3 linked regions of the Cricetulus griseus genome follow. The protein of the gene in region 1 interacts with the protein of each later gene in a pairwise test. Links are inferred from orthologs where the notes say so. Each region holds a gene or a part of one and is shown in the gene's direction. Other genes may lie near its edges. The genes, in order: Pex5, acyl-coenzyme A thioesterase 8 and Ech1.

Evidence for each region.
Region 2: the proteins of Pex5 (region 1) and acyl-coenzyme A thioesterase 8 interact in binary tests that used the Homo sapiens proteins (3 or more experiments, as listed by UniProt). The link is inferred for Cricetulus griseus from reciprocal best matches to the Homo sapiens genes PEX5 and ACOT8.
Region 3: the proteins of Pex5 (region 1) and Ech1 interact in a two-hybrid assay, tested with the Homo sapiens proteins (2 studies listed by BioGRID and IntAct, with this or other methods). The link is inferred for Cricetulus griseus from reciprocal best matches to the Homo sapiens genes PEX5 and ECH1.

Annotation. Positions count from the first base shown.
Region 1 is NC_048601.1:21,910,974-21,914,622, forward strand, and holds part of Pex5 (peroxisomal targeting signal 1 receptor), read left to right. Parts: coding exon 1-37; intron 38-404; coding exon 405-524; intron 525-3,649.
Region 2 is NC_048599.1:14,631,549-14,635,483, forward strand, and holds the end of acyl-coenzyme A thioesterase 8, read left to right. Parts: intron 1-602; coding exon 603-760; intron 761-1,286; coding exon 1,287-1,481; intron 1,482-1,754; coding exon of another isoform or gene 1,755-1,804; exon of another isoform or gene 1,805-3,161; coding exon 3,162-3,280; 3' UTR 3,281-3,407; downstream 3,408-3,935. Other genes in the region: Snx21 (sorting nexin-21), read right to left, coding at 3,825-3,935. UniProt on the Homo sapiens protein: Catalyzes the hydrolysis of acyl-CoAs into free fatty acids and coenzyme A (CoASH), regulating their respective intracellular levels. Displays no strong substrate specificity with respect to the carboxylic acid moiety of Acyl-CoAs.
Region 3 is NC_048602.1:7,032,462-7,035,439, reverse strand, and holds the end of Ech1 (delta(3,5)-Delta(2,4)-dienoyl-CoA isomerase, mitochondrial), read left to right. Parts: coding exon 1-118; intron 119-199; coding exon 200-248; intron 249-443; coding exon 444-508; intron 509-1,491; coding exon 1,492-1,562; intron 1,563-1,643; coding exon 1,644-1,715; intron 1,716-1,956; coding exon 1,957-2,107; intron 2,108-2,207; coding exon 2,208-2,312; 3' UTR 2,313-2,449; downstream 2,450-2,978. UniProt on the Homo sapiens protein: Isomerization of 3-trans,5-cis-dienoyl-CoA to 2-trans,4-trans-dienoyl-CoA.

The DNA of each region.
Region 1 (3,649 bases):
GGATGTAGAATTTGAACGAGCCAAGTCAGCTATAGAGGTGAGAGCCGCTGGTGTGAACACAAGTACCCCAGGGCCATGCCCTCCCATGGGGAGTATGGCTTTGTTAGTGCCAGAGGTGATGGGCATTGTCTCAGAATGTACTGGGTCATCCGTGTTGGAATTGTGTAGGTGCAGGATAAGTGCTTTTTAAAAAATGCAAATTCTTGGACATTGCTCCAGATTCCTGCATCAGAATCTGGGGGTAGGGTTGAGGAATTTGCATTTTACAAAAGCTTCTCTGATGGTTGCTGAACACATTAAAGTTTAAGGCCTGTTGCCCTAGGAACACACCCCAGTAGAGTGGGGGTGAGGGTGGGGTGGGCACGAAGCACCGCCTTTCTCTATCTGCCCTCCCTTCCTTACAGTCTGATGTCGATTTCTGGGACAAGTTGCAGGCAGAGTTGGAGGAGATGGCAAAACGGGATGCTGAGGCGCACCCCTGGCTTTCTGACTATGATGACCTCACATCTGCTTCCTATGACAAGGTAGGAAGGAGCCCCTGGCTTTCCAGGTTCTGGAACGGGAAGTTTCCATGCTGAAGCTGTTGCTACTTTTGAGCGGCTTCTGTGAAGTGTGATGATACCTTGGCACCTGCTGTCCAGGAATTGAATGGTCCTGTGTTCTTGGGGTTCAGTGGTTAGTAAGAATGCCTCTGCACATCACACCGTGACTTAGCGCCCACTAGGGGGCTTACACACGACGCACTAAGAACAGATGGGTAGGTAGGTCCTCTTTGCAGGTTCACTGGGATGATTTATTGGCTGCTGGCCCCTCTGCTGGGCAGTGGGAGTTGATGGATCATTCTCTGTCCACACTGTGGCATGTACTTCTCTTTTAGCTCATGAGTTGGAACACCTGCTCCCCCACTCCCAATGCTGGGTACCAAGCCAGGGGTTGTGTGTGCTAGAAAGGACTAACTATCCCATTGAGCTATACCCACAGCTCTCATTTAAGTTCTGATCTCTTCTTGTAGCAACAAGCTCTTGTCCCGATCCAGGATTTCAAAGAATTACATTAAATAATTTAAACAATAAGAACATTTCCCAGTAGTCTGTGGAGAAGATGTTTGGATTTTGCATGTAACGTGAGCTTTTGGCTTCGATGTTTGTGAGTAAATCTGCTTGTGAGTTGCAGGATCATTGAAGCATGAGAGGGAAGACAGTAGGAGTGGAGCCATGATGACAGGAGGTTTCTGTCCTGCCTGGTCTCAGGCTTATATTAATTATAAACTTTTTGTTGATGGCTCAGGCTTCTTATTTGGCTAGCTCTCTCTTAATTATTAACCCATTTCTATTAATCTGTGTATCTCCACTTTGTCTTGGCTTACTGGTGATACCTGGCCCTCTGGCTCCCTTGGCAGCTGCATGGTGTCTCCCTATCGGCTCCTCTCTGCCTTCCTCTTCCCAGCATTCTTGTAGTCTGGTAGCCCCTGCCTATACTTCCTGCTCATCAACCAATAAGAGAAACATATATTCATAGTGTCCAGAAGGACATCCCCCATCAGAGTAACACCTCTTTCTCAGCTCAACTGTGGAGGAGGAAGGACCAGACCCTGAGATTCAGAGCTGGGTGGTGGAGGTGGATGTTGACATAGGGAGCTGTGCCCAGATGGGAGAGGGAAGCTCAGGGACTGTGAGAAGGTCGGGGCTTGAGAGCCTCAGAACAACCTGCTACAAGGGAAAATGGGACCGTGGTGTTTCCATCTGCTCTGGGCTTGTTCAAAAATGGTCTTGTGTGGTACATTGAGGGGCTGCTTCCTTCTAGGGATTTCACCTTGTATTTTGCCACAGTATAAATTCCTCTCATAGAATAGCACTCTTATTGTCCTACATTAACAATTTGATATGTTGTTAACTTATAACTAGCATTTCCGTACATTTGATAAATGGAGATGTAAGTGCTGCTTTCATATGGGTAATATTTTCTCTTAATGTTTATTACTCTGGAATTTATGACATATACACAGAATAACTTTTTAAGTTTGAAGCTTAATTTAGCACTCATTATTTAAGTGCTAAATTTAAGACATGCTGGACCAAATACACAAAAAACTTAAAAATATAACAAGGGACCCAGGCAAGATGGTACACATCTGTAATCCTAGCACTTGTGAGGCTAAGTCAGGAGGGTTGTAAATTAGTGAGATTGTTTCAAAACAAACAAAACCTGTAAGTTATTAGATCCACGAATCCTGTTTGATGTCAGTGATAACTTGAAATATTGCAAAATGAGGCTTAGAACCCTCTGCACTAATGCTTCACAACAATGCTCCATTTTATTATTCACTAATAGTGAAGAGTTAAGTTCTGTCTGTCCTTAAGCTAAGTTGTACTGAATTATATGGAATACTTTAAAAGTGGGGGTGTGAGTTCGTTGTCAGATAAACTCATGGGTCTTTCTGTGCTTTTTAGGTGTTACTTACATTTTTGCATGTGTCTGTGGTGTGCACGTGTGTGCTGAGGTCAGGTATTAACATAAGGTGTCTTCCCTTCATTGCTTTCCACTTTCCCACTTGGGACAGGGTTCCTGTGTCCCCCAATCCTGCCCCCCCCCCAAGAGGTCATTGACACAGCTGCAGTCAGGCCAGCTTGCCCTGTGGATCCACTCTCCAACTGGACTTCATGCTTGCCTGGTTTTTAATCTTGGGAGTTAGGGATCTGAACTCTGGTCCTCCTGTTTGCCTGCAGGTGCTTTATCCATTCAGCTGTCTCCTTATCCCTCTTTATACTTTTTTAAAATTAAATATTTTTTATTGATCACCCTTAGATTTTTCATACACCTGTGGCCTAAAGAGACACTGAAACACTGTTCACTGTTAGAAAAAGTTTCTGTGATGTAGAGACGCTTTGAAGCTGTGCTTTATCCACAGTGTGATTGTGTGAGATTTTGCAACAGCCCAAGGAGTGGATCAGACAAGACGACTGGCTGGGTTAGAGCTTTCAGGATGTGTAGTAACACTCAGCTCTCAGCTCTCTGCACTCTAGTCTGTGAAGGGCTCCTTCAGAGGGTTCTTTCCTCACCTCTGCAAATGTTTTCTTTTTGCAGAGGGGGATAGTAGTTAATTCCTCATTGAACAGTAAGTGATGAGACGTTAAAAACAATAGGTAACGGACTCTAGAGGAAACTCGTGTTTGGGAGTTGAGTGCATTCATTTGTCACATTGTTTTCTGGAGACACAAGAGCATTCATCACCGCTGACTGCTCACACAGGCCTTGTACAAGCTTCAGGAAGTACAGCCACTGTTAGTAAGACTCTCAGTAGCTTTGAGGCATAAATACATTCATTAGGAAATTATATGTGACAACAATCTGCTTTCCACAGAGTGGCCTGAAGGATGGATTGATGATGGACAGCAGTTAAGGTTGAGTGTGAACATACTTATTCTATTGAATTCAGATGATCATGTGTGGCCTGTGGATAGGTGGATTTGCCACTCATTTGCAAATGGTTCAGTGGCTAAGAATGGTTTTAGCATTTTTGAATGGCTGAAAGAAATCAAAAGAGTAATGCAATTTGTAATACCTAAAATTAGAAATTTCAATGTCCATGAGTAAAATATGGTGACATAGCCATGCTCATTGCTCACATACTGCCCTAGCTGCTTTTGCC
Region 2 (3,935 bases), on another chromosome or scaffold:
GAGTGGTTCGATGAACTATGGGTCCAGACTGCCTAACATCTGAGCAAGCCACCTGGGTTTCCTGTGCTCATGCCTCTTATCAATTGGCGTGATGACCATACTTGTCATGTGAAGTCCTGGCAAAGAATGGGTTATGGTCATGTGCAATGCTTGGGTTGGTACCTAGGTCTTTTTTGTTTGTTTTTGGTTTTCAAGACAGATTTCTCTGTGGCTTTGGAGGCTGTCCTGGAACTAGCTCTTGTAGACCAGGCTGGTCTCGAACTCAGAGATCCGCCTGCCTCTGCCTCCCAAGTGCTGGGACTAAAGGTGTGCACCACCAACACCCGGCTAGTGCCTAGGTCTTAACTGTGTGTTTGCTTCAAGGCAGGTCACCTTATTACTCTCATGTTTCAAATGGGAAAATAGGCTCAGAGAGATGACTAACTTGCACAAGGCTTCGTGGCTGAAGTGACAAGGAAGGGATTCGAACACTACTGCTTTGCCAGCTCCATGAGGAAGCTTTGCAGGACAGAAGCCCCTATGGAGAAATTGTGGGGACCAGAAGAGGAAGCACAGAGAAGCTTCCTCTCCTTGGGACTCTTTGGCCCTGTGTTTACTTTCAGGGACCCTAACCTCCAGGAGAAATACCGAGTGGGGCTGAACCGAATTGCTGCCCAGGAGGTACCTATTGAGATCAAGCTGGTGAACCCACCCACCCCGAGCCAGCTGCAGACACTGGAACCCAAACAGATGTTCTGGGTGCGAGCCCGGGGCTATATTGGTAAGAGGACTGATGAATTGGAGAAAAATACTCCAGGGCTCTAGGCCTTGCCACTCATTTGCCCTCTGTTGCTTGGGTATCCCACCCTCTCTTTGGGCCCCTTTCCTAATCTGAATTATGCAGAATTTGGCTCACTTTCTCACCAGAGCCCTTACCCTTTAACATGAAAATAATGAGATGACTGTAATCCCATTGTTGGACCTTTCTGGGGGAAGCAAGGTACCTTGCTGAGGTTCTTATCTAGGCCAGAGGCACCATCGACATCTTTGTACAGATTGGAAAATGCCTGTTTTGGGACACAGAGAGTGACTGGGTGTGAGAGATTTGGGAAGAATGATTTGCATTTGTCTTACTCCTGTCCTTAGTCCCCACCTCCTTCATCCTTACACACCACCCCCAACCCTGGAACAGATGCCCTTGCACAATGACTAATTGGTGTGTGGCAGCCCTTTTCTCCCCACTTCCCTGCAGATCCTGAGCTGGAAAGCCAGGAGCCCAGGGCTGATGGGGTCGGGACCTGTTGCAGGGGAGGGCGACATCAAGATGCATTGCTGTGTGGCTGCCTATATCTCTGACTACGCCTTCCTGGGTACAGCATTGCTGCCCCACCAGTCCAAGTATAAAGTGAACTTCATGGTCTCGCTGGACCACTCCATGTGGTTCCATGCCCCATTCCGAGCCGACCACTGGATGCTCTATGAGTGTGAGAGCCCCTGGGCTGGTAAGTGTGGGCCTGTGTCTTTGGGAATGGTAGGAACCCGAACCTGCTTTATTTATAGATGCTACTGCCTCTTTCTCCTTTCTGGGGATGCTGCACAGGGCCCTTGCACTGCTGCCCCTCTGGGTATTCGTGTTGTCTTCAAAGGTATTCAAACACGTCAGGAATGATCGAGTTTATCTCAGAGACCCAGGGCAGATGCCCGAACCACTTTAGATGCCATGGATGAACTTGGGGAAATCCTTTTTTTCTGATGACTTTTTTTTTTTCTTTCAGGGAAGGGTAAGATCTCATTATGGAGCTATGACTTGCCTAGAACTTACTAGGATCCACATGTTTCTGCTCTGTGAATATCTGTGTGCTACTGTAGCCCAGCTTTTTTTTTTTTTTTTTAATCAACCAGGGTTTCATGTAACCCTTGCTTGTCTTGAACGTCATATGTAGTGGAGTCCTCCCTGGAACTCCTGACCCTCCTGCCTCCACCTCCCAAACGCAGGAGCCACCATGCCCTGCTTCTCAGTTTGTTTTTTTTTTTCATCTGAATAAACAGGTTATGTTAGATGGCACTATCTAAAAAGCCATCAGGCTGTTACTTGAGGGAGCTTTTTCTAAACAGATTGCATTCTGCCCCAGCAGGTCCTAGATCAGGTCCAGGAAACTGCCCTTTTTGTTTGCTTGGTTTTGGTTTTTCAAGACAGGGTTTCTCTATGAAGCCCTGGCTGTCCTGGAGCTTGCTCTGTAGACCAGGCTGGCCTGGAACCCAGAGATGAGCCTGCCTCTGCTTCCTGAGTGCTGGGATTAAAAGTGTGTGCCACCATGCCCTGGCTGTAAACTGTGTTTTAAGGATCTCCTTGGGTTGGCAGGATGGGACAGTGCACTCAGTGGTCTCTAGAGATGCCCCTGTAGGGAGCCAAGAGAGACACAGACTCTCTGATGTCTAGTGTTAGAGCCCTGGCTCTTTTATAATGAAGTACACTTCAGAGGAAGAAAAGCTTTGCTTTATAAAACAAACAAAACTTAAGTAACCCCTTACAGACAGGAAAGGGTTACTCAGATACCACCAGCCTCACAGGACAAGACTCCCAACCTTGAAGTAGGACAACTCAGTCGGCTTTGGCCTGATCCTTGGGGCCAAGCCTGAGCCTCTTTGAACTTTAGTGTCATCGTCTGTAAAACAGTGTAAGAAATGAAGCCCATACTCTGGCTAGTTAGATCAGAGTGGGCTCTGCTATGTGTAAAGAAAGCCTAAGTTAGCTCCTAAGGATGACTAACTCAGGCTGAAGCCACCAAGGTTGAGAACCTCTTGGTGGAAAGGGAAGGAGGTCACCCCTCATGGTCTCAGGTCCTCTCTGAGCCACCTTCTGGTCCCTAGAGGACTTGCTTGGCTTATCATAAAAGGAAAGGATGGATTTCTGACAGTGGCCTGAGAAGCAGCAATCTGCTTGGCCGAGCCTGTCAGAGTGCCTTTCTCTGTGATGGGATATGTGAAAGTGCTTTCAGACCATCAAGTGGAGGGGGAGGCCCCTCCCCCAGCGACTGTAACAGGCTCACAAAGGGGTATTTGGAGTAGTTATGTCCCAATGAACCCTTGTGTGGGGCAGCTCTGCCTTGTCAATCCCTTCCGAAGGCAAAGCAGGCTTGTGCTGAAGTAGAGGCCATTCTCACCCTTCTCCTTGCCCACAGGTGGCTCTCGAGGGCTAGTGCATGGGCGGCTGTGGCGTCAGGATGGGGTCCTTGCTGTGACCTGTGCCCAGGAGGGTGTGATCCGATTGAAGCCTCGGGTATCAGCGAGTAAGCTGTAGTCAAAGATAACTGGCTTGGCCTGGGATTTTAAAGAACTGTTTCTACTGCCATTCCTGAGGCAGGGGTCACAGCAGACAGCTGGGCTGCCTGCCCCTCATATCTAATAAAGAAACTGCTAACACTGGAGTAGCTGACCTTTCATTTCCCTGGGCAGAACTACAGCCCTCCTCCTGGCTCTAAACTCCAGGATTCCAGTAGTAGTCCCCAGCACTTCAGCCAAGCTGTTTTACTGGTGCCCAGGCCCATGGAAAAGGAAACATTGATCCTGACCTTGGCCACAGTCTCTGGCTATGGTGGGCTGAAGAGCCGTTGCCAAAACTTCCTCCTTGTATCATCCTAGGGTAACCCCAGGCAAAGCCTGTTTGGAGCCCAGCCCCACAAAACGAAGTTCCTCTCAGTCTGCTACAGACTCTTTCTGGAACTACTTTAGGGGTTCCCAGAACCCTTTCCAGCCCCTGGTTGCTCACTGTGTCCCTTTATGGCCTCCAGCCCCCTGACCTGGGGCAGCCCCTCTCTCAGAAGTGGCCTTGAGACTGGTGAAAGTTAGTCCAGCACCTCTTTGATAAGCAGCTCCTTGAGGCTGGGGGGCGGGATGGGGGTGAGGCCTGCCTCCTGTAGGGACTGAAGCTGGGCCTCAGTCTGCCGTTTATCTAG
Region 3 (2,978 bases), on another chromosome or scaffold:
CGACATCATGGACATGGCGCACCTCCTGCAGGCCCCAGGGGATGATGCAGCCCGCACGGCCTGGTATCTCCGTGACCTCATCAGCAAATTCCAGAAGACCTTCACTGTCATTGAGAAGGTGACTTAGGGGCTGGGTGGCATCCCTTCTGCCTACCCTTCCTCTGCCAGCTTTGATCCCAACCCTCCTTTTCCATTTCAGTGCCCCAAGCCGGTGATTGCTGCCATCCATGGAGGTTGCATTGGTGCAGGTGAGTCTGGAACCACTGGCCACCACTAGGGTGCCTGCATTGGTAAGGCTGCTACCCTCTGCCCTGCCCCCCTCCCGCAAGTTGGCCTCAGCTCAGCTGTTGCTAATTACAGTTGGTCCCCAGCTGTGACCCTATGTTTTGGGAAGAAGTATTGGTTCCTGTCATTATTCATTGTTCCTGGCCTTTTCCTTCCAGGTGTGGACCTCATCACTGCCTGTGACATTCGCTACTGTGCCCAGGATGCTTTCTTCCAGGTCAAGGTGAGGCACTTCTGAGGTCTTGCCTTCTGGGACCCTTGCAATGCTAGGCAGCCACAGAATGGGGTGGCGGGGGGGGGGTGGCAGTGGTGGTGGGGAGCAAGGCAGAGACAGGGCAGGCCGAGGCAGCTGGTCGTCAGGGTTTCCTGGATGAAGGTGTAAGGTTCTGGCAAAGATGGGGCGTGGAGAGACACAGGGCTGTCATGGTTCCACAGTTCAAGGTATGGTCAATTGTGTCAGGGAAGTGAAGACAGAGAGAGCTTGAAGGAGCCATTGCCTCATCAGTGTAGTCAGAAGAGAGCAGTGTGTGCTGGGGTCCAGCCCCCCACATGCCAGGGTCCTGCCCACAATTAACTGAATCAGTTAATGCAATCAAGACAGTACCTCATGACAGGCGCGTGTGGTGGTGCAAACCTTTAATCCCAGCACTCGGGGGCGGAGGCAGGAGTTCGAGGCCAGCCTGGTCTATAGAGCAAGTTCCAGGACGGCCAGGGCTACACAGAGAAACCCTGTCTTGAAAAAACAAAACAAAACAAAACAACAAACAAGGTAGTACCTCAGAGGCTCATCCCTAGATTCTGCCAGATTGACAGTAAACATTTGCCACCCCACAGACCAACCTGAGCCTCACAGTGAGACCCTGTCAGAGAGGTAGGCCGGTGCTGTGGGTGTACGTAGCTCACAGTAGAGGGCATGAGTGGGGGGAAAACGCTCTGAGTTAGCACTGCCCAGCACCGGAAGGAAGGGGATGCAGGCCCAGCTGTGGTTTCTGCATAGACACAGCTGGAACTGCTGCCATCCTTACAGGCCGAGGGGTGGAGTGGAGCCCAGGGCTCTGGAAAGGGCCTTGTGAGCAAGCTGGGGGGCCAGGAGGTAGCATCGCCTCTTGAGGGTGTCTGAGCTGGAGGGTGGTGAAACCACTGAGCTTGCGTGGTAAACAATGGCAGACACAGAACAATCACTCATCAGTGTTCCCCTCCCTCTAGGAGGTGGATTTGGGCCTGGCTGCCGACGTGGGGACACTGCAGCGACTGCCCAAGGTCATCGGGAACCAGAGGTGAGAGGGGTGATGATGACCCGGAGAGGAGGGGTCAGACCCAGGTGAAGGGTGGCTCCTGATCGCCCTCCCCTTATGTAGCCTGGTCAACGAGCTGACCTTCACGGCCCGAAGGATGATGGCTGACGAGGCCCTGGACAGTGGGCTGGTCAGGTAGGACCCTGCCTGGCAGATGGCAGGGAGGGGCACAGGGCCATCCAGGCCAGGGTGGGGCTCCATGGTCTCCCGTATCCTCACTCCAAATGGCCTTTCTCGGTACAGCTATTTCTTTCTCTGAGCATGACCCTGTGGCTGAGCTCTTTGGTTGGGGTTTCCGTTTTCTCTGTGAGGCCACCTGGCCATCATCCACAGGGGAGAGGGAAAGTGTCCCCCTCACCTCTTCCTTCCCCGGCAGCCGTGTGTTCCCAGATAAGGACAACATGTTGAATGCAGCCTTTGCCCTGGCGGCTGAGATTTCCAGCAAGAGCCCTGTGGCTGTGCAGGGGTCAAAAATCAACCTAATCTACTCCCGAGACCATTCCGTGGACGAGAGCCTTGACTACATGGTAAGGCTCAACTACACCAATCATGGCCCTACCTGGGGGTCAGCATGTGTGCACACCTCTGATTGGTGCCCTGCCGGTCTTTCCGACGCCCCTGATCCAGGCCACCTGGAACATGAGCATGCTGCAGACCCAGGACATAATCAAGTCCGTCCAGGCAGCCATGGAGAAGAAGGACACCAAAAGTGCCACCTTCTCCAAGCTCTGAGTGCCTTCCTGATCCTGAGAGAGGAAGGCTCCGTGGAGGGTCAGTGCCTTCTTCCATGTGGTCGCCCATTGTACAAGCTTACGACTTAGTTCTTCAGGGGCCTTATCTTCACTGTGAACAATAAAGTTTGAACACAGCCTGGTGTCTTTACTGCAGTGGGTGGCGGCTCAGATGCCTGGCTCCACGGAGGGCAATTGGGAAGGCCGGGAGGCAAATCTGACTGGGCCAAGAGGAAGTGTGCAAGGAACAGAGGCCGCAGAAGGCTGAAAGGCCACACCTGTCCCCTGTGTCTGTCCCCAGCAAGGTGTGGCACAGCACTGTAGGCCTGGGTACCTGGCACTGGGTGAGGTCATTGCTACCAGCCCTATGCCTCTCTTTCTCCTTTTTCTTTCTCTGCTGGAGCAGCAAGTGTGCTTAGCCCCTGAGCCATCTCTCCAGTCCCCTTAAGAAAATGTTGATTTGGGGGCTGGAGAGATGGCTCAGCGGTTAAGAGCTCTTGACTGCTCTTCCAGAGGTCCTGAGTTCGATTCCCAGCAACCACATGGTGGCTCACAACCATCTAAAATGGAATCAGATTCCTTCTTCCGGTGTGCATGCAGACAGAGCACCCATACACATGAATACATAAGTCTTTCGAAAATGTTGATTTTGTTGTGTTGTTGTGTG